Linked DNA regions of Arabidopsis thaliana. The protein of the gene in region 3 purifies or fractionates together with the protein of the main gene of each other region. This does not show direct contact. Each region holds a gene or a part of one and is shown on either strand. Other genes may lie near its edges. The genes, in order: AT4G30910, LAP2 and GDH1.

Region 1 (7,383 bases), on a different chromosome or scaffold from region 3:
AGAGACTTTTGGTGATCAAAGGGCATGACTTTCACAGATTTTCCAGCAAAAGTCGTCAAATGTCCAAGACTCATTTTCTCCACTGTTGTTGTTGATAAGAGTCTGAAACAACAAGGTTCGTATTGGATTCCTCAATAATATAATATAATAAATTATGTTGATTGATTTTCTTTCTTCGAATCCTGAGCTGTTTTTTCACATAAAAATTGATAAGCTTTTGACTTATTATTGAAAATCATGTAGGTCACGACGACGATGAGCTGCTGCTGATGTGAGAGAGACCTTTGTTTTTATTCGTCTTACCAAACCATAAAGAAAGAAGAGAGAAAACTAGAGGAAGAAGAAGAAGAAGAAAGGAGACAAAACAATGAGTGTGTCTTTGAGTGTGATGTCATTCAATCTTCACGATGATCTACCTGAAGAAAGCCCTAATTCATGGCTCAAAAGGAAAGATTTGTGTCTCACTGTCATCACTAGTTACTCCCCCATTGTTCTCTGTACCCAACAAGGTAATAATCTTTAGCCACAATGGATCAATGCTTGTTAGATCTTTGATTCCTTCTTCGTATTGGTGATTCAATGCTTGTTAGATCTTGCTTCCTTCTTTATATTGGTTCTCCAAGAAGGCTTCTTTTTCCTGAATGCTGGAGATTGATTCTTGTGCTTTTTCTTGCCTTCTGAAATATTGAACAGAGATAGGATTTTCGTTTTGATCTTTTGTTATCATGTTTACATTGGTTAGGTGTGAAGTCGCAGTTGGATTATCTTCAGCAGGGGTTGCCAGGTATAATTGAATTCTCTTTGATTTATGGAAGTCTAATCTCTACTTAAATGGTGTGAGTTAGGTCTAATTGAACCCTGTTTGTATACAGCAGTCTGCTTCTTCTTAAGTTCACAGACTAGTGTGAATCTTGTTATCAATCGTAGACCACTCTTCTTGTTCTCAATCTACTATGTAAATCTATTTGTGATCTACTAGATTTAATTCTATTTTTAGTATATGTTGGTATTGCTTAAATCTGATAGCCAATTTGTCAATCCGTATCCTTTTTTGCATCAAGTTCAAGTTAGTGTTTTTAGGCTACAAAAGCCGGAGTCTAGTGCACTTAATGCATCTGTTTTATGGCAATGGAATGCATGATATTCTCACATTTACAGGTGCTTTCTTTGAAATGATGGTGGTATTGTTTATCTGGTTTTTGTTACTGTGAACCATGGAGCTTAGCTTCTAGTTTCACATGCCTTAATAATACTTCAGTTTGCATTGTTTCTTTGAACTTAAATAGATGGTAGTACTCTTTGCTTGCAGCCTATGATCAATTTGGCATATCAAGAACAGGACCTGGGGATGCTAATGATGAACACTGCACCATCTTCTTCAACAAGGAAAAAGTATTAATTCGGTTGATAAGACAATACATAACTACGCTCTAAATAATTAATACGCTGCTTGATACTATACTTTATACTAATTGAAGGTAGAGCTGCTAGAGGGTGGAACTTTTTGGTTGTCAGAGTCTCCCTCGGTCCCTGGAAGCACGGCATGGGGTTCCGCAGTTCCTTGTATAGCGACATGGGCTATATCCTTTTTACTAGTTGGGTTCATTTTAGTTAAACTATAATTAGATTAGTTTATGATTTTGGTGTTTTTGTCCTATATATCAGTATTTTGGTTTTCTTTGACAAGCTGCCTACACATTCCAACTTAAAGGAGCGGAGCCGCCTGGTTTTTCGTTTCAGATAGTCAACACAAACTTGGATGAAATCAGCCCTCGTGCCCGTAGGCGAAGTGCTTTACTCACATGGCAACACATAGCATCATTACCTCCCACTTTGCCGGTTGTGTACTGTGGAGGATTCAACACACAGAAGGAATCAACAACAGGGCGGTTTCTGTTGGGCAGATCTAGGTACCTTAATATCACATTCACAAGTTTTGTGCTTTTTACCAATCTCCTAGAGTTTTCTTTCAGGGCTCCTAGTTAATGCAAGAATGGCTAAACCATTCTTCACACACTGATCAACTAGTTTCAAATCAAAGCATATTTACTTATTTGACTGCTGATGAATGGCTTTTGGGCATCATTCAACTTGCAGAGAGCATGGTGTGGTAGGAGATATGAGAGACGCATGGCCAAGTGCCCGAGTAAGAAAAAACGTCGCTCTCATAAGAACATACCATGATTTCAAAGGTGTGAAACATTCCACCCTCTCATGAGCTATAAAAATCATTTATCTCCAAAGCTTCTAGATCATAACATGTTGGGCCTTTGTTCAGGTGACAAGCAGGGAACGGTCGAGTTCCTGAAGCTGATATTCAGAGCGTTATGCCTCTGCTGGGACCGACAGACGCAAGATCTACACACGGATTGGATACTTTACAGAGGTAGATCTATAGTTCCTGTAATGTGCGAGATCGTAAATGATAAGATTGACGACTTGTATCCTTCATCTCACTACCCTGTGTTTGCTGAGTTTATGCTTCCTCGTTCTGTAAGAATGCTTGAACCTACTCCTCCTGTTTCTGCTCCTGCTCAAGAGGAAAGCTAGAACACATGTCCTCACTTGCTTAAGCTTTGGACTATACTGATTGTTGTGCAAATGAGCTCTGTTTTTTTCTCGGCGCCTTTATTTATTGATTTGAGCTAAAACATATTCAAAAGAGATTTAAATAAATTGTTTTGTTTGCTCCTAATAGTTTGTGTTATTATTGATGACCACTGAAACATAAGATTGACGACTTGTATCCTTCATCTTGTGCTCCTAATAGTTTGTGTTATTAGGTAAGTGATGTTACGGAACACAAGAATATCTACAAATAGTCAAATACTTTCAAATGGGTAACTCGTCATATTCAAGCGTCACACTTCACAGTTCACACAAGCAAATAAAAACCCTTTTACCTACATTAAAACCTCTGAGAATGTTAAATAAGAACTGGGAGCACAAAGATCACCTGCCTACATCTTAAGAAGAATTGTTCTGTACCCACTCAACAAGTGTCGCAACTCCAAACCCAGTCGCAGCTTTCTTCTTCTCGTTCCACACCCGTCCAGCCATATCTATGTGCAACCACTCAACATTCTCGCTAACAAACTGCAACCATTAACCAAATCCGGTTCTTCGTTAGAGAACAATAGAATCAGTATTGAAGTGTGTTTTTTTGTTTCCACTCTTATGGTATCCTCACCCGTTTCAAAAAGAGAGCTGCGGTGATGGATCCACCTGCACGGCCTCCAAAGTTAACCATATCTGCAACACCTGACTTCATCATCTCCCAATAACTCTCTTCCATAGGCATTCTCCATAACTTCTCTCCACTCCTCTGTGATGCAGCAATTACCTCCTTGGCAAGCTCATCACTAGCTGTGTACATGCCTGCAGAAATCAAAAATCGAAACCAATATTCAATCATCACGAAAGAATGTCATTCTGTCTATTTTATACACAAGACTATGTACCTGCCATTGATGGTCCAAGAGCAACAATAATCTCCCCGGTCAATGTTGCAATGTCAACAATCTGCAAATATATATGATTCACAAGTTGAGAGAAAACCCAGCAGAAAGAATGTTATTGATAAGGGGAAGAATCTTTGAAACAATACCTTATCGACACCCTGGTTGCAAGCATAAACTAGAGCATCTGCAAGTGTTAGCCGACCTTCAGAATCGGTGTCGTTGACCTGCAACACTAACAATGGAAAGCTTGAACCTTTCGAAGCTGAATTCATATGGAAACGGTGTAATGATACCTCAATTGTCTTCCCGTTTGAGGCTGTGATGACATCTCCAGGTCTCATTCCGGTACCACTTATCATATTCTCACAAGCTGCGACAATAAAGTGCACCTAATTGTGCAAAGAAGCATTTGTTCAGGTACATTCACTTAACTCAGAAACTCAAGCTCCGTGTGATAAACTTACCTCAACACCGGGAGGCTTAATTTCACCAATGGCTTTTGCAGCGCCAAGAACAGCAGCTGAACCTCCCACATCGATTTTCATGAGCTCAATTATTAATTCAGGCCCAATTTTAATGTTGTAGCCACCGCTGTGAACAAAAACCAGATGGTCAATAACCAATAAGTATAAAAGAAAGAGATTGATGCGGCAAACAGAAGACAACAGCTCTTGCGAGTACCTGTCAAATGTCAATCCTTTTCCAACAAGAGCAAGTTTGGTTTTAACAGGGCCACTAGAAGGTTTGTAGATAAGGTGGATGAAATGAGGTGGATTAGCTGAAGCAGCAGCTACAGCAAGATATGAACCCATCTTCAATTCTTTGCATTGCTCCTCTTTCAAGATGTTTGCAGTCATGACATTACTGTACATGGAAGCCAGATTCGAGGCTTCCTCAGCTAGTACGGCTGTAAGATACAAAGCAGATTAGAGTCAAATGTTTGAAATAAACTTCAATAGACATGATGCTCACATTATAAAAAACATGAGAAGTCTAAGAGTATGATTATAATCCATACCAGGGGAGAGAACATTGGCTGGTGAATTAACAAGTTCTTTCGTGAAAATTACGCCATAAGAAACATGTTCAGCATACTTAAGCTTGTTCTCTAGTTCAGGTCCAGTGCCAAAGCCAATGAATACTACAGATTTGAGAGATGGTTTCTTTGACTCAGACTTATACCGACTGTCTTCAAACAAACCAAGCACTGTGCCTGTCAAAAGTAAAAAACGATTCCACAAAAGGATCAGTTCAAAAATGGTAATGAAACAAGCACTTCTCAAGGTTTACTAAAAGAAATCACAACCTGAAGCTATATCTGAAGCAGAACTGAGCTTAGATTCATCAGAAAAACTCTCAGAGGAGGCGAGAACAACTGCAACACTGCTAGCTTGAGAAGCTTTAGCAGCTGCAGCAACAGCCTCACCAAGACTCTGAAAAGCCGAAGGGGTTGAAGCAGATTTTCCAAGACCAATCAAACCGACCCGCTTTGAGCCGAGACCCGGAAGCCTAAGAACTGTTGACTGGCCAGGTTTCCCAGAAAAATCTTCCTCAGCCGAGACATCAGCTAGAAGTCCACCCAAGTGGGCATCAAGCTTCTTCAGTATGGGGTTCTCGAACTTGGAGTTGGCATCCTTAGCCATATCTTTCTCCGTCACTCCAACAGCGAGTATATCACCTTTCCATTCAGTCACGTCAATCTCCTTCCCGGAAAATGAGATCTGATACAGAAAACTCGAGTAATCAGAATCCAGTTAAGCATCTGGAAAGCTAATCTCTGACAAGACTTGACCATAATCGAAGTAAGCAAATCAGTGGATCATCTTAATCGGAAACAGTAAAGCGACGAATCTACAAAGCATTCACTAGTATCGAGTTTAAACACATAACAGCAAAGTCAAACCTTAGGATGATCGACGGAGTTGGCCTGAGTAAGGCCAAGAGTAGCGTGTGCGATTGTATGAGCCGTGGCTTTAGAAGAGCAGTAGAGAGGCGTGATGGCGAAAGAGACTCTAAGGCGAGACAGCAACTGGAATCGTACGAAACAAGAGGAGAGAGACGACGGAGAAGAGGAGAAAGAGCGGAAATGGAAGCGAGAAGAAGAAGCACATGACGTTACCAAAGTGACCGCCATTTGAGAAGTCTCCACTGAGCTTAGCTTCTTTATATTTATTTATAAGGAGAAGAACAGAGTGGCTGATGCAGACATATATATATATATATATATATATAGTATGAAATTAGAGTTATCTTAGAAAATTAGAGTGGCCCAGTCTCTTCTTGCGTCCGCCCGCGTCCGACCGTCGTGTCTTGTTGACGATGATTATTCTTTTACTTGACTCACTCACTATTGCTATTATCCGACCCGATCTTAACAATCTTGATTAGCTGTAGACTTCTTTTCAAATTTTAATGTGATCATGTTTCACTATTACTAAACTTATCTTGATAACCATATCTGAAATACTTACTACTGTTATTTGTTGCCTTCAAATTTAAAGTTGTTTATACAAAACATAGTTTTGATACTATTTATAGAAATTCAAATATTTCAAGGCATTCTTACACGAAGTGATAAAAGAAATTGAAAAACACGTCAGTATTATCACTTTTGTAACTCATTTGTGGATCAATAGGTGAAATCCAATTAAAAATACATGATTTAATCTAATAACCAAACCAAATTTAGAAATCTCGATTAATTGATTTGGTATTCTTCCAATTAAATTAATTAGACTTGGTTTAATAATTAAACCAAACCAAATTCTTATAATCTAGTTACACCACACAGACGTAATAATACACCAACAACGCAAATTGTCATTGGTTTCGGTTCTGGTCTTAACTAAATTAAGAGTCATTGGTTTAGACTGGTTAAGATCCGGTTCAATAATCAACAACAAACACGGGAGATAAGGTTCGCCGTTACCTTTCTCGGCGATTACTCTCGGTGGATCTGCTCGGGGCTCGATGAGGCGGTTTAAGCTCACGGCAGTAAGGTCTCATAGCTCAACAATCAAAACCAAAACAAAGCACAGATCATAAGAGAAAGCCAAAAACTTCCTGAGCAAGTTACATAATAGATCTAGGGTTTCCTTACCCTTAACGGCCTTGGCGATGGACTACGACTACTCCGGTGACAGCGGTTGACATCCTGTGACTCGTGGTGTCACTCTCCGGTGACACACGGTGGCTGTAGTGGTGATGAACGGCGACTATCTCTCCTTCTCAACAACTCACGGACCCATTCAAATACAACAACATGACGGGACACAGCAACAACGGTGGCTCAACTGTGTCTCTCACGGTGGTTGTTGAATTTAAGTTTAGACTAGGTAAGCATACAACAACAAAACTAATCTTCTGATTGATTTAACTTGTCATACTTAGTTGCACAAAAAAAAAAAACTTGTCCCACCACACAAAGCAAAAACACAACTAGTTCACATCAGTCAGAGATCACCAGACTTCATCTTAAGAAGAAGAATGGTTCTGTACCCACTCAACTAGTGTCGCAACTCCAAACCCAGTTGCAGCTTTCTTCTTCTCGTTCCACACTGGTCCAGCCATATCTATGTGCATCCACTCAACATCCTCGCTCACAAACTGCAACCATTAACCAAACCCGGTTCTTCGTTAGAGAACAATAGCGTCAGTATTGAAATGTGTTCTTTTGTTTCCACTCTTATGATATACTCACCTGTTTCAAGAAAAGAGCCGCGGTAATGGATCCACCTGCACGGCCTCCAGTGTTAACCATATCTGCAACACCTGACTTCATCATCTCCCAGTAACTCTCTTCCATAGGCATTCTCCATAACTTCTCTCCACTCCTCTCTGATGCAGCAATCACCTCCTTTGCAAGCTTATCACTAGGTGTATATATGCCTGCAGAAAAACCAATAGTCAACCATCACGAAAG
Region 2 (7,681 bases), on a different chromosome or scaffold from region 3:
TAACTAAATTAAGAGTCATTGGTTTAGACTGGTTAAGATCCGGTTCAATAATCAACAACAAACACGGGAGATAAGGTTCGCCGTTACCTTTCTCGGCGATTACTCTCGGTGGATCTGCTCGGGGCTCGATGAGGCGGTTTAAGCTCACGGCAGTAAGGTCTCATAGCTCAACAATCAAAACCAAAACAAAGCACAGATCATAAGAGAAAGCCAAAAACTTCCTGAGCAAGTTACATAATAGATCTAGGGTTTCCTTACCCTTAACGGCCTTGGCGATGGACTACGACTACTCCGGTGACAGCGGTTGACATCCTGTGACTCGTGGTGTCACTCTCCGGTGACACACGGTGGCTGTAGTGGTGATGAACGGCGACTATCTCTCCTTCTCAACAACTCACGGACCCATTCAAATACAACAACATGACGGGACACAGCAACAACGGTGGCTCAACTGTGTCTCTCACGGTGGTTGTTGAATTTAAGTTTAGACTAGGTAAGCATACAACAACAAAACTAATCTTCTGATTGATTTAACTTGTCATACTTAGTTGCACAAAAAAAAAAAACTTGTCCCACCACACAAAGCAAAAACACAACTAGTTCACATCAGTCAGAGATCACCAGACTTCATCTTAAGAAGAAGAATGGTTCTGTACCCACTCAACTAGTGTCGCAACTCCAAACCCAGTTGCAGCTTTCTTCTTCTCGTTCCACACTGGTCCAGCCATATCTATGTGCATCCACTCAACATCCTCGCTCACAAACTGCAACCATTAACCAAACCCGGTTCTTCGTTAGAGAACAATAGCGTCAGTATTGAAATGTGTTCTTTTGTTTCCACTCTTATGATATACTCACCTGTTTCAAGAAAAGAGCCGCGGTAATGGATCCACCTGCACGGCCTCCAGTGTTAACCATATCTGCAACACCTGACTTCATCATCTCCCAGTAACTCTCTTCCATAGGCATTCTCCATAACTTCTCTCCACTCCTCTCTGATGCAGCAATCACCTCCTTTGCAAGCTTATCACTAGGTGTATATATGCCTGCAGAAAAACCAATAGTCAACCATCACGAAAGAATTTTATTCTGTCTTATTTAAAACACAAGACTATGTACCTGCCATTGATGTTCCAAGAGCAATAATACAAGCCCCAGTCAATGTTGCAAGGTCAACAACCTGCAAATATTGTAATTCACAAGTTGAGACTTGAGAGAAAAACCAACAGAAAGAATGTATTAATAAGTCGAAGAATCTTTGAAACAATACCTTATCGACACCCTGGTTGCAAGCATAAACTAAAGCATCTGCAAGTGTTAGTCGACCTTCAGCATCGGTGTTGTTGACCTGCAATACCACCCACAATTAGTTTGGCGTAAAACTAACAATGGAAAGCTCGAACCTTTTGAAGCTGAATTCATATGGAAACGGTGTTATGATACCTCAATCGTCTTTCCGTTTGAGGCTGTGAGGACATCTCCAGGTCTCATTCCAGTACCACTTATCATATTCTCACAAGCTGCGACAATAAAGTGCACCTGATTGTGCAACGAAGCATTTGTTTAGGTACATTCATTTAACTCAGAAACGCAAGCTCCGTGTGATAAACTTACCTCAACACCTGGAGGCTTAATTTGACCAATGGCTTTTGCAGCGCCAAGAACAGCAGCTGAACCTCCCATATCGAATTTCATGAGCTCAATTAAGCAGCCAGGCCCGGTTTTAATGTTGTAGCCACCGCTGTGAACAAAAACCATCTGGTCAATAACTAATAAGTATTAAATAAAGAGATTGATGCGGCAAACAGAAGCCAACAGCTCTAGTACCTGTCAAATGTCAATCCTTTTCCAACAAGAGCAAGTTTTGTTTTAACAGGGCCACTAGAAGGTTTGTAGATAAGATGTATGAAATGAGGTGGATTAGCTGAAGCAGCAGCTACAGCAAGATATGAACCCATCTTCAACTCTTTGCATTGCTCCTCGTTCAAGATGTTGGCAGTCATGACATCACTGTACATGGAAGCCAGATTCAAGGCTTCCTCAGCTAGTACGGCTGTAAGATACAAAGCAGATTAGAGAAAAATGTTTGAAATAAACTTCAACAGACATGATGCTCACATTATTAAAAAAAAAAAAAATGAAAAGTCTAAGACTGATGCTCAAGAAACAATCCTCACCAGGAGTGAGAACATTGGCTGGAGAATTAACGAGTTCTTTCCCGAAAATAACGCCATAAGAAACATGTTCAGCATACTTAAGCTTCTTCTCTAGTTCAGGTCCAGAGCCAAAGCCAATGATATCTACAGATTTGAGTGATGGTTTCTTCGACTCAGACTTATACCGGCTGTCTTCAAACAAACCAAGCACTGTGCCTGTAAAAATAAACAACAATTCCACATAACGATCAGTTCCAAAATGGTAATGAAACAACCATTCTCGAGCTTTAATAGACGAAACCACAACAACAACAAATAAAACACCTGAAGCTATAGCTGACGCAGAACAGAGCTTAGATTCATTAGAAACACTCTCAGAGGAGGCGAGAACAACTGCAACACTGCTAGCTTGAGAAGCTTTAGCAGCTGCAGCAACAGCCTCACCGAGACTCTGAAAAGCCGAAGGAGTTGAAGCAGATTTTCCAAGACCAATCAAACCAACTCGCTTAGACCCAAGACCCGGAAGCCTAAGAACTGTCGACTGACCAGGTTTCCCAGAAAAATCTTCCTCAGACGAGACATCAGCTAAAAGTCCACCCAAGTGAGCATCAAGCTTCTTCAGAATCGGGTTTTCGAACTTGGAGTTCACATCCTTAGCCATGTCTTTCTCCGTCACTCCAACAGCGAGTATATCACCTTTCCATTCCGTCACGTCGATCTCCTTCCCCGAAAATGAGATCTGATACAGCAAATTCGACTAATCAGAATCCAATTAACCACAAAAATTCAAACTCGAAAGCTAATCTCTGACAAGACTTGACCATAATCGAAGTCAGCAAATCAGTGGATCATCTTAATCGGAAACAGTAAAGCGACGAATCTACAAAGCATTCACTAGTATCGAGTTTAAACACATAACAGCAAAATCGAATAATGCTGCAAGCGATCAGGAACAAACCTTAGGATGATCGACGGAGTTAGCCTGAGTGAGGCCGAGAGTAGCGTGTGAGATTGTATGAGCCATGGCTCTAGAAGAAGAGTAGAGAGGCGTGACGGCAAAAGCGAGTCTAAGGCGAGAGGGGAACTGGAATCGGACGAAACAAGAGGAGAGAGACGACGGAGAAGAGGAGAATGAGCGGAAATGGAAGCGAGAAGACGAAGAAGCGAAGGACGTTACCAAAGTGACGGCCATTTGAGTAACGCACTGAGCTTCTCTTATTTATAAGGAGAAGAAAAGCCGCGTTTGTGCTTATCTCTCTCTCTCTCTTGTTGACGATGATTCTTCTTTTACTTGACTCATTGTTTGCTTTTATCCAACCCGTCCCCACCCGACCCGATCTTAACCATGGACTTACGTACTCGTGTAGCTTTATAATTCTCTTTGGCTCCAAATTGCTTTTGTTTAAGTTCTTTATACATATTTATACAAACAATGGTTTTGATACTATTTACAAACATTCAAATATTTCAAGGCATTCTTACACGATTTTCCGATGTTGATAAAAGAAATTATAAATCAGTTCCAAGTACTATCAATTCTGTGAATCATTTGTTGATGAGGAAGTGGTTGCCATATATAGTTACAATAATAATCACCTGATCTAAAGAGTCATAGTGGAAAAAATCGAGATTTTGAGTGTAATGTGACTTGCAGTTATTACCAATTTACCACCAGTTTCATATCTGTGACCGAGACTTGCATGAAGAAGTAAATTAAACCATAACCAAACCACAGTAGTACAGTACAAAGTACAAAGCATAGAGAAGATAAGGAGAGAGATGTTTCCGCAAATCTTTATTTCTGAAACAGAAGCAACAAACAGCTCCCACAAGCATGAGCCAGTTTAAATACAAAATGAAGAGCAAGGAGAACAAGACAGTGAAAGGCAAATCACATTTCATATCTCAGGAGCCTAGTTACTTACCACTAACTACCAAGAAGGCCTTTTCATCATTTCAACGACTTTAAAATCTAGTTCTTAGTGAACAGCAAGTGATAATTTAACTTACTTCAAATGTATCGGCATCAGCAAAAAAGAAAGAAGCAAATTTTATCTCTAAGCAACTAGCTCAGCCTTCGTCTGTTCTGTAACAGCTTCTTTCGAAGGCTTATGGACGATCTTCGGTTCTGGTTTTTCAATTCCTTGTATATCGGTTATTCTCAACTTCGTCAATTCCTGGACACAAGTGTTGAATGGTCAAAAACAACAATCATAACACAGTGGAAAGAACTAGAAGAAGGCAAAGATGAAATAAACACACTGTCTATCTAAACAAGGAGTTATAAAGTATACCTGTCGATGTCCTCTCGTTCTCCTATAATTCTTTCTTCGTTTCTTTTTGAAAATGAGCACTTTTTCATCCAAAGCCTGTCACGCATCAAGGAAAAACTAGTTGAGTAATGCTGGTACATGAGTAGATCCTTCTACATTCCAAGCCCATCTTAAATCAAGACATTCAGATGATGTAGAGATAGATGAACACTAATCTAATGACTTGCAAGACTTTCACAAACTAATCAGCAGACAGTTTGATTTAGTTTCTCTCAGTCACCGGATTCAGCAAGCAAACTCTCATCTATCCTCTTTTCAATTGTAAATTATTCTTAAGCACAGCTTCACTAGTATTATAAAACACCAAGCAAGTCAATGAGACACTTACATGCTCTTCAACTACAGCATGAACTGTCGCATCTGGCAAAATAGGCCTACCAATAATCGTCTGGCTTGCCGAGCCCAATAGAAGAACCTTGGTTAGTTCCAACTGCAAAGGGACATAAAGAGAAAGGTTTTAGCAACAATCATAAATCATAAACACAAATGCAAAGGTTCGTCCTTCTTACGAGAGATACGGTAAAGTCTAGCCCTTTGAGAGAAGAATAGCAAAGATTAACGAAGAAGAGCTTGAAGCTAGCATACCTTATCATTGATGTCACAGAATTTCAACTTCTCGGTGAAAATGGAGTCCCCATTGCTAACTTTAAACTGATGCGAACCAATCTACAGGATAAAAATAACCACTCAGCATCAGTGAGAGTGAGAAATGAAACTAAAGGATTAATTGAGATAGCACAGAGACGAGACCTGAACAATGGCAAACACTGGTTCATAGGGTTTGAAAAGTCTCTCCGAAGGTTTAAGAGGACCCATCACCTTGTACCCTATCTCCTCCGCCTCTTCCACTTTCTCCGCCGGTGAATATTCCCTTTCTACTTCCATATCCGCCGAATCCTCAAAGTCTTCCCCCTCCTCCTCATCATCATCCTCTCCTTCACTGCTTTCTTCATCTTCATCAGTATCCTTTGTGTTCGAAGAGAAACAACGATCTTGAGAGCGATACCAATGACTGTACCATGGCAAATTCCTAGTGAGAGATCGATTCGGAATTACGGTCCCATGAGAAATGCTGGTCCCGGAAAACTCAATCCCATGAAATGAAGAGATCGATCGCGTCTGGTTGATGGAGAAAACAGTCGTAGCGCGGCGGCTCAGCTCACGAAAGCATCGAAGACTCGCCATCGGAGAGCACGAACACACTAGGGTTTACACAGAGTAGAGAGAAAGGGTTTTTGTTCTCGTCTTTTAGTCCCTTTCAAGTTTCAGAAGACCCTCTAGACGAACCAGAGGCTATTCACTAAAATTAGCGATTTAATATCACAATAAACATATACCATCATTACACAGACGAATGTTAACGTATTTAGTTGGTAATCTTCATGGGGTTTTTTATTATTATTATATAACAAGAACAAGGAGGCGAAAATTGAGTCGATGAACTCTATAAAACTCATAAACTACATATAATCAGCATTGCTTGATTTCGAATCCAATGCTCAACAAAGTCCTAGCTGATTCCATCACTTTCTCTCCACCAACGTCCAATGCTTCTTTACTCTGCTTCTCACTTTCTCGCCCCACCGAGCACTGGCTTGAAGTCGGAATGTTCACCTGATCGTCTGTCCTGGTTCTCATTGATGTTGGAGCGGCTGCAGCTACGAGCATTGAGCTTGGAGGACCATGGCGTTTCTTAGGCACCGGCATGTCGTGGTTGTGTACTCCTTTGTATGTGATTATTACTGCTTTTGTGTTCTCGACTGCTGTCTCAATGTGTTTACGAACTGGACATCCCGCTGAAGTGCATCGGTAGTAGTTCCTGAATGTTTGAAACAGAACAAATCAATCACCATGCGTATTAGAAGATGTCATATGTGGATAAAGAGATGGGTCATGCGTTTAGTTTTCTAGACCTTGGATGAGGATTTCCTTTCACCATTTTCTGCCCGTATTTACGCCACCTGTATCCATCACCACAGATACCAACATCACCAGCTGCGTGTACTACGAATTTGTTTTTCTTTCCAGGTTTGGAGACAGAATCTGAACTCTGTGAGTTATCTTTTTTCAGTCTGAAAAATAGAGAGAAGAAAGTCTATTAATTTCATCTTTCAAAGTGAAGAGTAAGCACCGAAATGCAAAATTCTACAAACTTGCCTTCGTTTTGGCTCTGGTTCCTCCACAGCTTCGTTCTCACAGTGTCTTTTCCGGTCAACGAGTGTTTGCGACTCACAGATGTATTCTTTAGTAGAAGCAGACGGATCTGAACCGCTAGGAACAATTGATAGCTCTTCTACTACTGTATCATCCTCTGAAACAGGCCGGATAGCTGTTGTAACTCTAATCTCTCTCGGGGAGAAGCTAGTCTTCCGGGGAGGTTCATGAGTATGTAAACCTTTGTTAACAATCTCTACCACATTGCCTGAATCATTGGAGCATTCAATTTTTTTAGCACAACATTCAGTGTATGTACACCTGTAGTAACTCCGTGAGCCCTTGGGACTCTTAACCTGCTTCTGTCCATATTTTCTCCAATTATAACCATCACGAGCCGGTGTCCTAGGAACAGGAGTAACCGACAATCTGTTAACCACCGGCGAATCTGATCTTTGCTCTTGTTTAGTTGGAACTGAAACCAGTGGTAAATCTTGTGCGGTTGAAGCAGTTGCAGGATCCAAAGATAGACATGGCGTCACTGTCAATGAGTCTGACGATGCAGCCAGAGAAGGAGATGTTTCTACCTGACGATTCTCTTCCACTTCATCAACCGGCACAATCGCACTTACAACAGTTTCCTTGACGCTATCAGTCTCCTGCCAATGTGATACAAAAAGCAGTTAAATGTCATGCCTTGATAACAGTGATTCTTGTCCTCAGAATTGCCTAAGAAATCAGACACACTAAAATGTAACAGATCAAACTGATACAGATACAGATTGAACTTGGCCAAAGGTTAAAACCATTACGATTAATCCTATTCCCATGTTATTGTATAATCACTGAACGAGTAACATCGAAGACACTGAAATGAGTTAAACTTTACAAGTTCTAGCACAATCAATGTTAATGAGAGAATCAAAGTTGTAAGTGTTAAGAAAGTTTATGAATAGCAGAAGAGTCTGAAGCAAACTCACATTCACTTCTAATACATCTTCAACATTTGGTTCCACAGAGGAATTTTCTCGAACACCT
Region 3 (7,087 bases):
TCAATGGCAGCAACTGCAGATCAAGCAGCTTTCATATTAAGCGTACCAAAACGTAAAATGATGGATGAAACTCAAGAGACTCTTCGCACCACCGCCTTTCCAAGCACTCATGTCAAGGTGGGTTTCTTTAGTTTTGAACAAAGATTGGACTTTTGCTTTGTTTCCATAATACTGATCAGGACCTGCCCGGTGTTGGTTGATTTTGCAGGAAAAATGGGCGAAAAATCTGTACATTGCATCAATATGCTTTGGGAGGACAGTTTGCTGAGGTACTTAGCATCATATGAAAGCCAAGAAGACAATTGGAGGATAAGGATCATAATACGATCAAGAAGGTAACGCAACCTGTTTGTTAAATGTAATGAAATGGATGCGTGTTCGTATGTATGTAGAAGTATAAAAGGATAGAAAAGATGGTAACAGAGAAGTTGAATTAGTTTTAATAGAAAGTTTTGAGGGCTTTTTAAGCCTTCAAGTGTGCTTACTTTTTGGTATCACTTGCCTTGTTTGAGTCTTTGTTTCAACTTTCAAGTGTTTAAAATAAATGAAATGTGAGAAAGCCAAACCAAACTTAAACCGACATAAGCATAAATAAATAAAATAATATCTCATTGTTATTCAAATCTTTTGTTAAATTTTTACAAAAATTATTGACAAATTTACTAAAAGAAAATTTTATCTCTTCCCGGTTTAACGAGTCGTAACCCGGTCTGGGATTGCTGAAAACCCTAGTGGTTTACCTTCTTTTTTTTCTTTTCGTTATTAAGAGTCACAACTACTTCTTCAACACTCCAATTGGCAATTGCTTCCCTCGCTGAAACCCTAAATAAAAACCTCTGAGGAGCAGAGAGCGATAGAAGAAACCAAAACCAAAAAGATGAGACCACCACGTGGCGGCGGCAGCTTCAGGGGAAGGGGAGGAAGAGATAACGGCGGACGTGGACGTGGACGTGGACGTGGACGTGGACGCTTTGGTGGTGGTAATTATGACGAAGGACCTCCCAGCGAAGTCGTTGGTTCGTTTTCAACCCTCTTTGACGATTCTCTCATTCTTACCAATCAAGCAGATAAAAATTATTGAAAAAAGTTGTCAGCTTTGACATTAATGAGCGTTTGTTGCTGAAATTTGACAAAAAGAAAATTTTTGTATTCTGATTGATGATTTGTTTTCCTGTTATTAGGATTTTGTTGGATTCTTGTGACAGTTTTGAAGTTAATTGAAAAGGAACAAACTTGTGAATTGTCTCTGTTATGATAGAGTTTCTTTCTTGGTGGTGTTATACAGAAGTTGCAACTTTTCTCCATGCTTGTGAGGGAGATGCTGTGTTCAAGCTCTCCAATGTGAAAATCCCACATTTCAATGCCCCAATCTACCTACAAAACAAGACCCAGATTGGGAGAGTAGATGAAATCTTTGGTCCTATTAATGAATCTGTATGTGTTATCTCTCTCTCTCTGTTGTCTTCTTCGTTCACTGGCCTTGCTCACTAATATACAAAGCATTGGTTCTTACTTTTTCAGCTATTTTCTATCAAAATGAGGGAAGGTATTGTAGCTACCTCATATAGTCAAGGCGATAAGTTCTTCATTAGCCCTGAGAAGCTTTTACCTCTATCAAGATTCCTTCCTCAACCAAAGTAAGCTACACTTCTTAACCCTTGTTACCAATTCTTAGGTCCCTTGAAGTAGTAGAAGAAACTTGTTCAAGTGTTAGAAAAAGTCTGTAACGAAAGTCTTTGTTCTGTTCTTCTTGCAGGGGACAATCAGGAGGCCGTGGTGAAGGAAGAGTCCCTCCCCGTGGTAGAGGGCCTCCCCGTGGTAGAGGCAATTTCAGAGGTAGAGGTGCTCCCAGAGGTGCTAGCAGAGGGTTTCAACCAAGAGGTGGTCCTCGTGGAGGCTTCAGAGGCCGAGGGAGGGCCTAGATTCATATTCTATAGCCTTAAGCTATCTTTAAATTGCTTTTTTTAAGAACCATATTGATGATAACTGTTTTCTTGGTTCTAGTTTTTTGATACCTTGGTTTTATTAACAAGAGAGTAAAAAAGCTCATTAACTATTAGAGTCCAAGGTTTTATTACATACAGAAGCGTCTTCTAGTACTTGTAAACACATATCTGTTAACTCAGGATGACCTCTAAGCCAAAGTAGGAGGATAAAACAAAAAGTAGATTAAAGTTTGGCTCAATTCTTATTCAGGAGCTGCTAAAGAGATTGCATAAGAGATTAGATAATCTTTAAGCTCCCCAGCCTCTGAGAATGGTAGCTTGAGCCACACGATTAACACCGAGTGTGAAAGCTCCCATCCGGAGATCGCAAGAGTGAGTTTTGCACATCTCTTTCAAGTCCTTGAAAGAGCGAGTCATGTAAGTCTTTAGCTCATCGTTCACCTTCTCTTCCTCCCACATAAAGCCTTGAATGTTCTGCACATTACCGGAAACAACTAATCTGATCAAAATCGGTTTTGTTCGAGTACTTGGTCTGTCAAAGGTAAGTTGTTGAGAGACTCATACATACCTGAACCCATTCGAAGTAACTTACAGTGACTCCTCCAGAGTTTGCATATATGTCCGGGAGAATAACCACACCTTTCTTACTTAGGATCTGTAATACAAGAATCTCCATTACAGAGATTCGCAATGAGAAACTCCAAAGTCAAAGAAGAAGACAATCAAACCTCATCCGCGTCCGGATCAGTTGGATGATTAGCTGCTTCTATGATGAACTTTGCTTTAATCTCATTCGCATTCTCCCTTCAAACCAAAATCCAACTAATAGTTTTTAAAAAGTTTCAAAACAATATGTAAGCTTTTGTAGCAAAAAAAAGCTCTAACCTGTTGATGACACCACCAAGTGCTGCAGGGACGAGGATATCACAATCCTCAACCAGTATGGAGTTTGGATCGATCGGATCTGCACCATCAAACCCTTTGACACCTCTGTGTTCTTTAGTATGCTTGAGCAAGGCCGGGATATCGATACCATCCTTGTTCTTGATTGCTCCGGTAATGTCACTCACGGCAACAATCTTCCCACCCTTTTCACTTATCAGCTTTGCCGCCCAAGAACCCACATTACCAAATCCCTAATGAACCAATATGTAAACCAGAATAAGAAAAGTTTCTTTGGCTCGCAGGAAACCGCAATAAAAGAAAGGTCACCTGGATGACAAAACGCTGCCCTGATATGGTCTTTCCGTGCTCGTTAAGCAAAGCTTCGGTACCAAACATCACTCCTCTTCCAGTAGCCGCGTCTCTCCCTAGCGATCCACCAAGATCCTGGTTCATAAACATCATTAAACATTCAGGTGGTTAAACCAGTCATTAGCAAAACAAGATTGTGATTATTCTTTACTTACAATGGGTTTTCCAGTCACAACTGCAGGCGAGTATCCATGAAACTTAGAGTATTCATCAAGAATCCAAGCCATTGTCTGCAAATTCCACCAAGGGAAAAAGTTGAAAGATGGTTTCAAAAAAAAACACAGAACATTTTGGAAACGTTCTGAAGAGAGTTTAAGAACCTGAGGACCAGTGCCCATATCTGGAGCTGGAACATCAGTATGAATCCCAATGAGATCATGAATCTTCTGAGTGAAAACTCGAGTCAACCGCTCGAGCTCGGAGATACTGAGCTTGCTAGGATCACAACCAATCCCTCCTTTAGCTCCTCCGTAAGGAATCTTAGCCACTGCTGTTTTCCATGTCATGAGCTGAGCCAATGCGTTCACTTCATCCGGATCAACCTGCAAGAAAACGATAACCGGTTTGCATCATATACCAAAACCGAAATTGTATACTGGTTTGTTACATTTGAGTTTTGGTTCAAAAGGTCAAAGTCAAAAGGTCAAAAACCTCAGGATGATATCTGATTCCACCTTTCATGGGACCTCTTGCATTGTCGTGTTGAACTCTGAACCCAACGAATGATGCTAGTGTACCATCGTCTTTCGGTATGGTACATTCCACCTACAAAAATACCAGAACCGGTTGATTTAAATTGGTTTGTTCCGGTTATATAATTCAGCAACCGGATTGAAGTAACTGGATCCACAAAAAAGCGGGTCGGGTTTCGAAATGCCCCTAAACATTCAGTAATCATTTTTCACTACAATCCACCGCGACGAATCGTCTCCGGCGCCGGCGAAGGCACAAAATCAGCGGATCAAGGTTAATTAGGTTAAGAAAGGAGTGAAAATTTGCGAACCTTGATTTCTCGGAAGGGGATGAGAAGACTTTTCTCGAGCTTAGAATCCAGACCAAGAAGCCTAGCAGCTAACTTGAAGTTTCTGTTTGTTGCTGCTAAAGCATTCATGGCTTCTTCTTCTTCAACTTCTTCTTCTTCTTTTTTTGTTTCTCTCTGTGTACTTTGAACTTTCACTGGAGTTTTGATCAGAACGCTGTAATAAAACGACTGTTAAAGAGGAAGATTGGTGTCAGTCTGATTGTAACTTGTTAAGTGTGTATGTATTTATTTATACACAGGCACGTGATCGATATGTTTGGGTAAGATTCAGTGGAGGTCCAGCTGATTACGGTGGAGCTGATTAAGTAATTTAATTACAAAAAAAGACAAGACACAATAATCATGGTTTAAGCCTTTAAGTGGGTTTTAGATATAATTTTGATAAGTTAAGACAAACATACTTTAAGATAACTCGAGAAATTTTTTTCTTTTTTGAATCAACTAATTAAATCTTTACCAACTAACTGTCTATCTGTTTAATTTCTGGAACAACATGTACTTTTGAGTTTAGTTGTATAATTCAACTAAAATATACTTGTGTTTATTTGCAACTTGCCTAAAATTTGAGATCAACTAGACTTAAATTCTTTGGATGTTTTTGTTCCTATTTACGGAATTACGGTTGGATATGTCGACATATTTGAGATGTCATTGGAAAATTTTCCAATTATATAGTTTGGGAAAACTAAACATTGTGCTATGTATTGTCAGAAAAATAATCTCGCCGAATAAGAACATTCTCAAAACGTTACATACTACATGTATATTATATGGCATCTTATGCTAGATATAAGTGAAATTAGTGGGGAATGTGACACACATAATCTTTTGATTTGGAGAGATATGGTTGCGTCGTCATGTTCGCATCAAATCGGGATTTCTTTGATTTTTCTAAATTGGTGTGTGTTGACTTGTAAACAATCTTATCCACTATGTTTCTTTTGTTTTCCCAATTAATATGCTTCCATTTACATGTACGGAATTCAAAATATTAAAACTTTTGTTAAAGTTTGTAACAAGATAGAGTTTAATTCGCAATAAATCAATTACATTTTGCTTTTAGCTAGGATACAAGTACAACGACTGTTGTTATTTCTTCTGGAGGCTAATGCTATTGAAACATTTTGATTTTTCAGTCTTATCTTTCTGTGATACGAATTTGGTCTTTCATTATTAGTGTTTGTCAGTGATGGTGTTGGTGGTGAAGTCACTGTAGGAGACAAAGTTTTTGTAAGAAAAAGAAACAAAAAGACAAGGCTTGTGTGTTTTGACCGATGCAGCCTAGTAGTAGCTTAGGCTTCATCTTTTATACACGTATTGTAGAATCTTGAGCTCGCTTATGAATGTTCTACATATCATCAGCTGGAAACTAAATGCCATAACTCCTAAGGGATTGAGTAGATAGCATAAATGTAGGCAATAGTCTTCAGAGCAGAGCCCACATTGTTTAATAAGACATGCATGTTTAGGACTTACGATATATTCAAACTAAAGAAAAATCAAATTATGACAAAGCCCTTCAATGTGAACGGATAATCATAACAAGAAGAATCTATCAGAGAATCATAAACTTGCATATATAATTAGCTATGTGTCATTCTTTGGAAAACAAAACAGAACCCTTCTCAAAATCAGTTGTTATGAATTATGATTATTGGTCTCTCACATCCAAATTGAGAGTAAACTAGATAGTGTTATAACACTAATATGTAAGGGATGTTATTACATTCATTACCAAATGTTATTGTCCTGAGGGCTCTTAAAACTGCTAATAATATCAAAGTTCATGACACAATAAATTCACTAGCATTAGTAATAGACTAATAGCGCCCAAATTTAGCCAAGTCCTCCAATATCAATGAATTTGTGGCTATCCAGGCTAATCTTTTCTCATAAGGTACCATAATAAAACCACTATATTGGTCAATTTTACAGAGATCCATGTCTCAAAATGTTGAATTCATACTGCAAGTAACTAAGGCTAATCTTCGTATGCTCTAAGCTCTAATCGTCTGAGTGAAGATTTCAAGTACTTCTTCTGTACTTGTTTAACTTTAGGACAAAAGTCTCTTTTCTATTTTTGAGAAAAGGATCACATGGAAATTGCTAGAAACAGAACAGAGGAATCGTAGGTTCAATCTCAAAAACACATATTACAGTCTCTCCATGTATAGTTTTATAAAGTTTCTATTAAGTCTCTAGAATATGTAGTATCATCATTAAAACATATTGGGATCTCCAGTGGGATCAATCAATCAGTGGATACAAAAAAAGATCTGAAGAACACTTCAGAAATATATAGTGTCATTCCATGCAAAAAGATGAAATCTCTTAAAACGAGATGAAACTCTCAATGTGATTTGGTAATACATAAAAGTCATTCACAAGATCAAATCCAAGTCTATCAGGTTGCCAAATCTGGTTATCCGCAATTCCTTGAAACTTGGTTTCTCTGATATTGTTTTTCTTAGGATCAAAATACACAACACAGAACGATCTATTCAAACTAAATCCTGTGTAAATAAGCTCACCAGCATCAATAACACCCTTCAGACTTGTGTTGGGAGGAAGACATAAATGAAACTGTTCATACGACCATTTTCGATTCCCTGCATCCTCCAAACTCCAGATTTCAACAACAGAGCTAGTGGAACTTATCAAAGCCAACCTTCCCTCATAAGATACCATAAGAAAGCGGTCATAATTACGCATCGGAAACTCAATATGTGTAAACTCTTCATATCTGAGATCAAAGCCAAATATAACATGCCTTGGAACCCTATCAAATATAATAGCTTTATAGTAGATAACTCCATTAATGCATCGTCCAGTATCTTTAGTAGGC

Evidence for each region.
Region 1: the proteins of GDH1 (region 3) and AT4G30910 fractionate together in Arabidopsis thaliana (co-fractionation; one large-scale study listed by BioGRID). This does not show direct contact.
Region 2: the proteins of GDH1 (region 3) and LAP2 fractionate together in Arabidopsis thaliana (co-fractionation; one large-scale study listed by BioGRID). This does not show direct contact.

The regions. Positions count from the first base shown.
Region 1 is NC_003075.7:15,039,654-15,047,036, forward strand, and holds AT4G30910 (Cytosol aminopeptidase family protein), read right to left. Parts: upstream 5,692-7,383; 5' UTR 5,596-5,691; coding exon 5,365-5,595; intron 5,183-5,364; coding exon 4,768-5,182; intron 4,675-4,767; coding exon 4,480-4,674; intron 4,369-4,479; coding exon 4,143-4,368; intron 4,053-4,142; coding exon 3,926-4,052; intron 3,851-3,925; coding exon 3,608-3,850; intron 3,523-3,607; coding exon 3,462-3,522; intron 3,379-3,461; coding exon 3,191-3,378; intron 3,097-3,190; coding exon 2,968-3,096; 3' UTR 2,704-2,967; downstream 1-2,703. Other genes in the region: AT4G30900 (DNAse I-like superfamily protein), read left to right, coding at 368-509, 743-784, 1,310-1,392, 1,479-1,580, 1,696-1,910, 2,098-2,192, 2,279-2,550; LAP2 (Cytosol aminopeptidase family protein), read right to left, coding at 6,936-7,067, 7,162-7,349. UniProt on the Arabidopsis thaliana protein: Presumably involved in the processing and regular turnover of intracellular proteins. Catalyzes the removal of unsubstituted N-terminal amino acids from various peptides. Possesses Cys-Gly dipeptidase activity.
Region 2 is NC_003075.7:15,045,957-15,053,637, forward strand, and holds LAP2 (Cytosol aminopeptidase family protein), read right to left. Parts: upstream 3,483-7,681; 5' UTR 3,349-3,482; coding exon 3,115-3,348; intron 2,896-3,114; coding exon 2,481-2,895; intron 2,373-2,480; coding exon 2,178-2,372; intron 2,054-2,177; coding exon 1,828-2,053; intron 1,742-1,827; coding exon 1,615-1,741; intron 1,540-1,614; coding exon 1,444-1,539; intron 1,349-1,443; coding exon 1,271-1,348; intron 1,181-1,270; coding exon 1,120-1,180; intron 1,047-1,119; coding exon 859-1,046; intron 765-858; coding exon 633-764; 3' UTR 501-632; downstream 1-500. Other genes in the region: NFD1 (Ribosomal protein L21), read right to left, coding at 4,214-4,333, 4,451-4,525, 4,818-4,919, 5,075-5,155, 5,240-5,674; WRKY32 (WRKY DNA-binding protein 32), read right to left, coding at 5,960-6,308, 6,403-6,561, 6,647-7,302, 7,624-7,679. UniProt on the Arabidopsis thaliana protein: Presumably involved in the processing and regular turnover of intracellular proteins. Catalyzes the removal of unsubstituted N-terminal amino acids from various peptides.
Region 3 is NC_003076.8:6,003,396-6,010,482, reverse strand, and holds GDH1 (glutamate dehydrogenase 1), read right to left. Parts: upstream 4,449-7,087; 5' UTR 4,312-4,448; coding exon 4,204-4,311; intron 3,966-4,203; coding exon 3,852-3,965; intron 3,743-3,851; coding exon 3,521-3,742; intron 3,431-3,520; coding exon 3,356-3,430; intron 3,276-3,355; coding exon 3,159-3,275; intron 3,083-3,158; coding exon 2,832-3,082; intron 2,751-2,831; coding exon 2,675-2,750; intron 2,602-2,674; coding exon 2,515-2,601; intron 2,421-2,514; coding exon 2,235-2,420; 3' UTR 1,923-2,234; downstream 1-1,922. Other genes in the region: AT5G18190 (Protein kinase family protein), read left to right, coding at 1-117, 209-268; AT5G18180 (H/ACA ribonucleoprotein complex, subunit Gar1/Naf1 protein), read left to right, coding at 878-1,016, 1,286-1,434, 1,522-1,637, 1,757-1,922; AT5G18160 (F-box and associated interaction domains-containing protein), read right to left, coding at 6,574-7,087.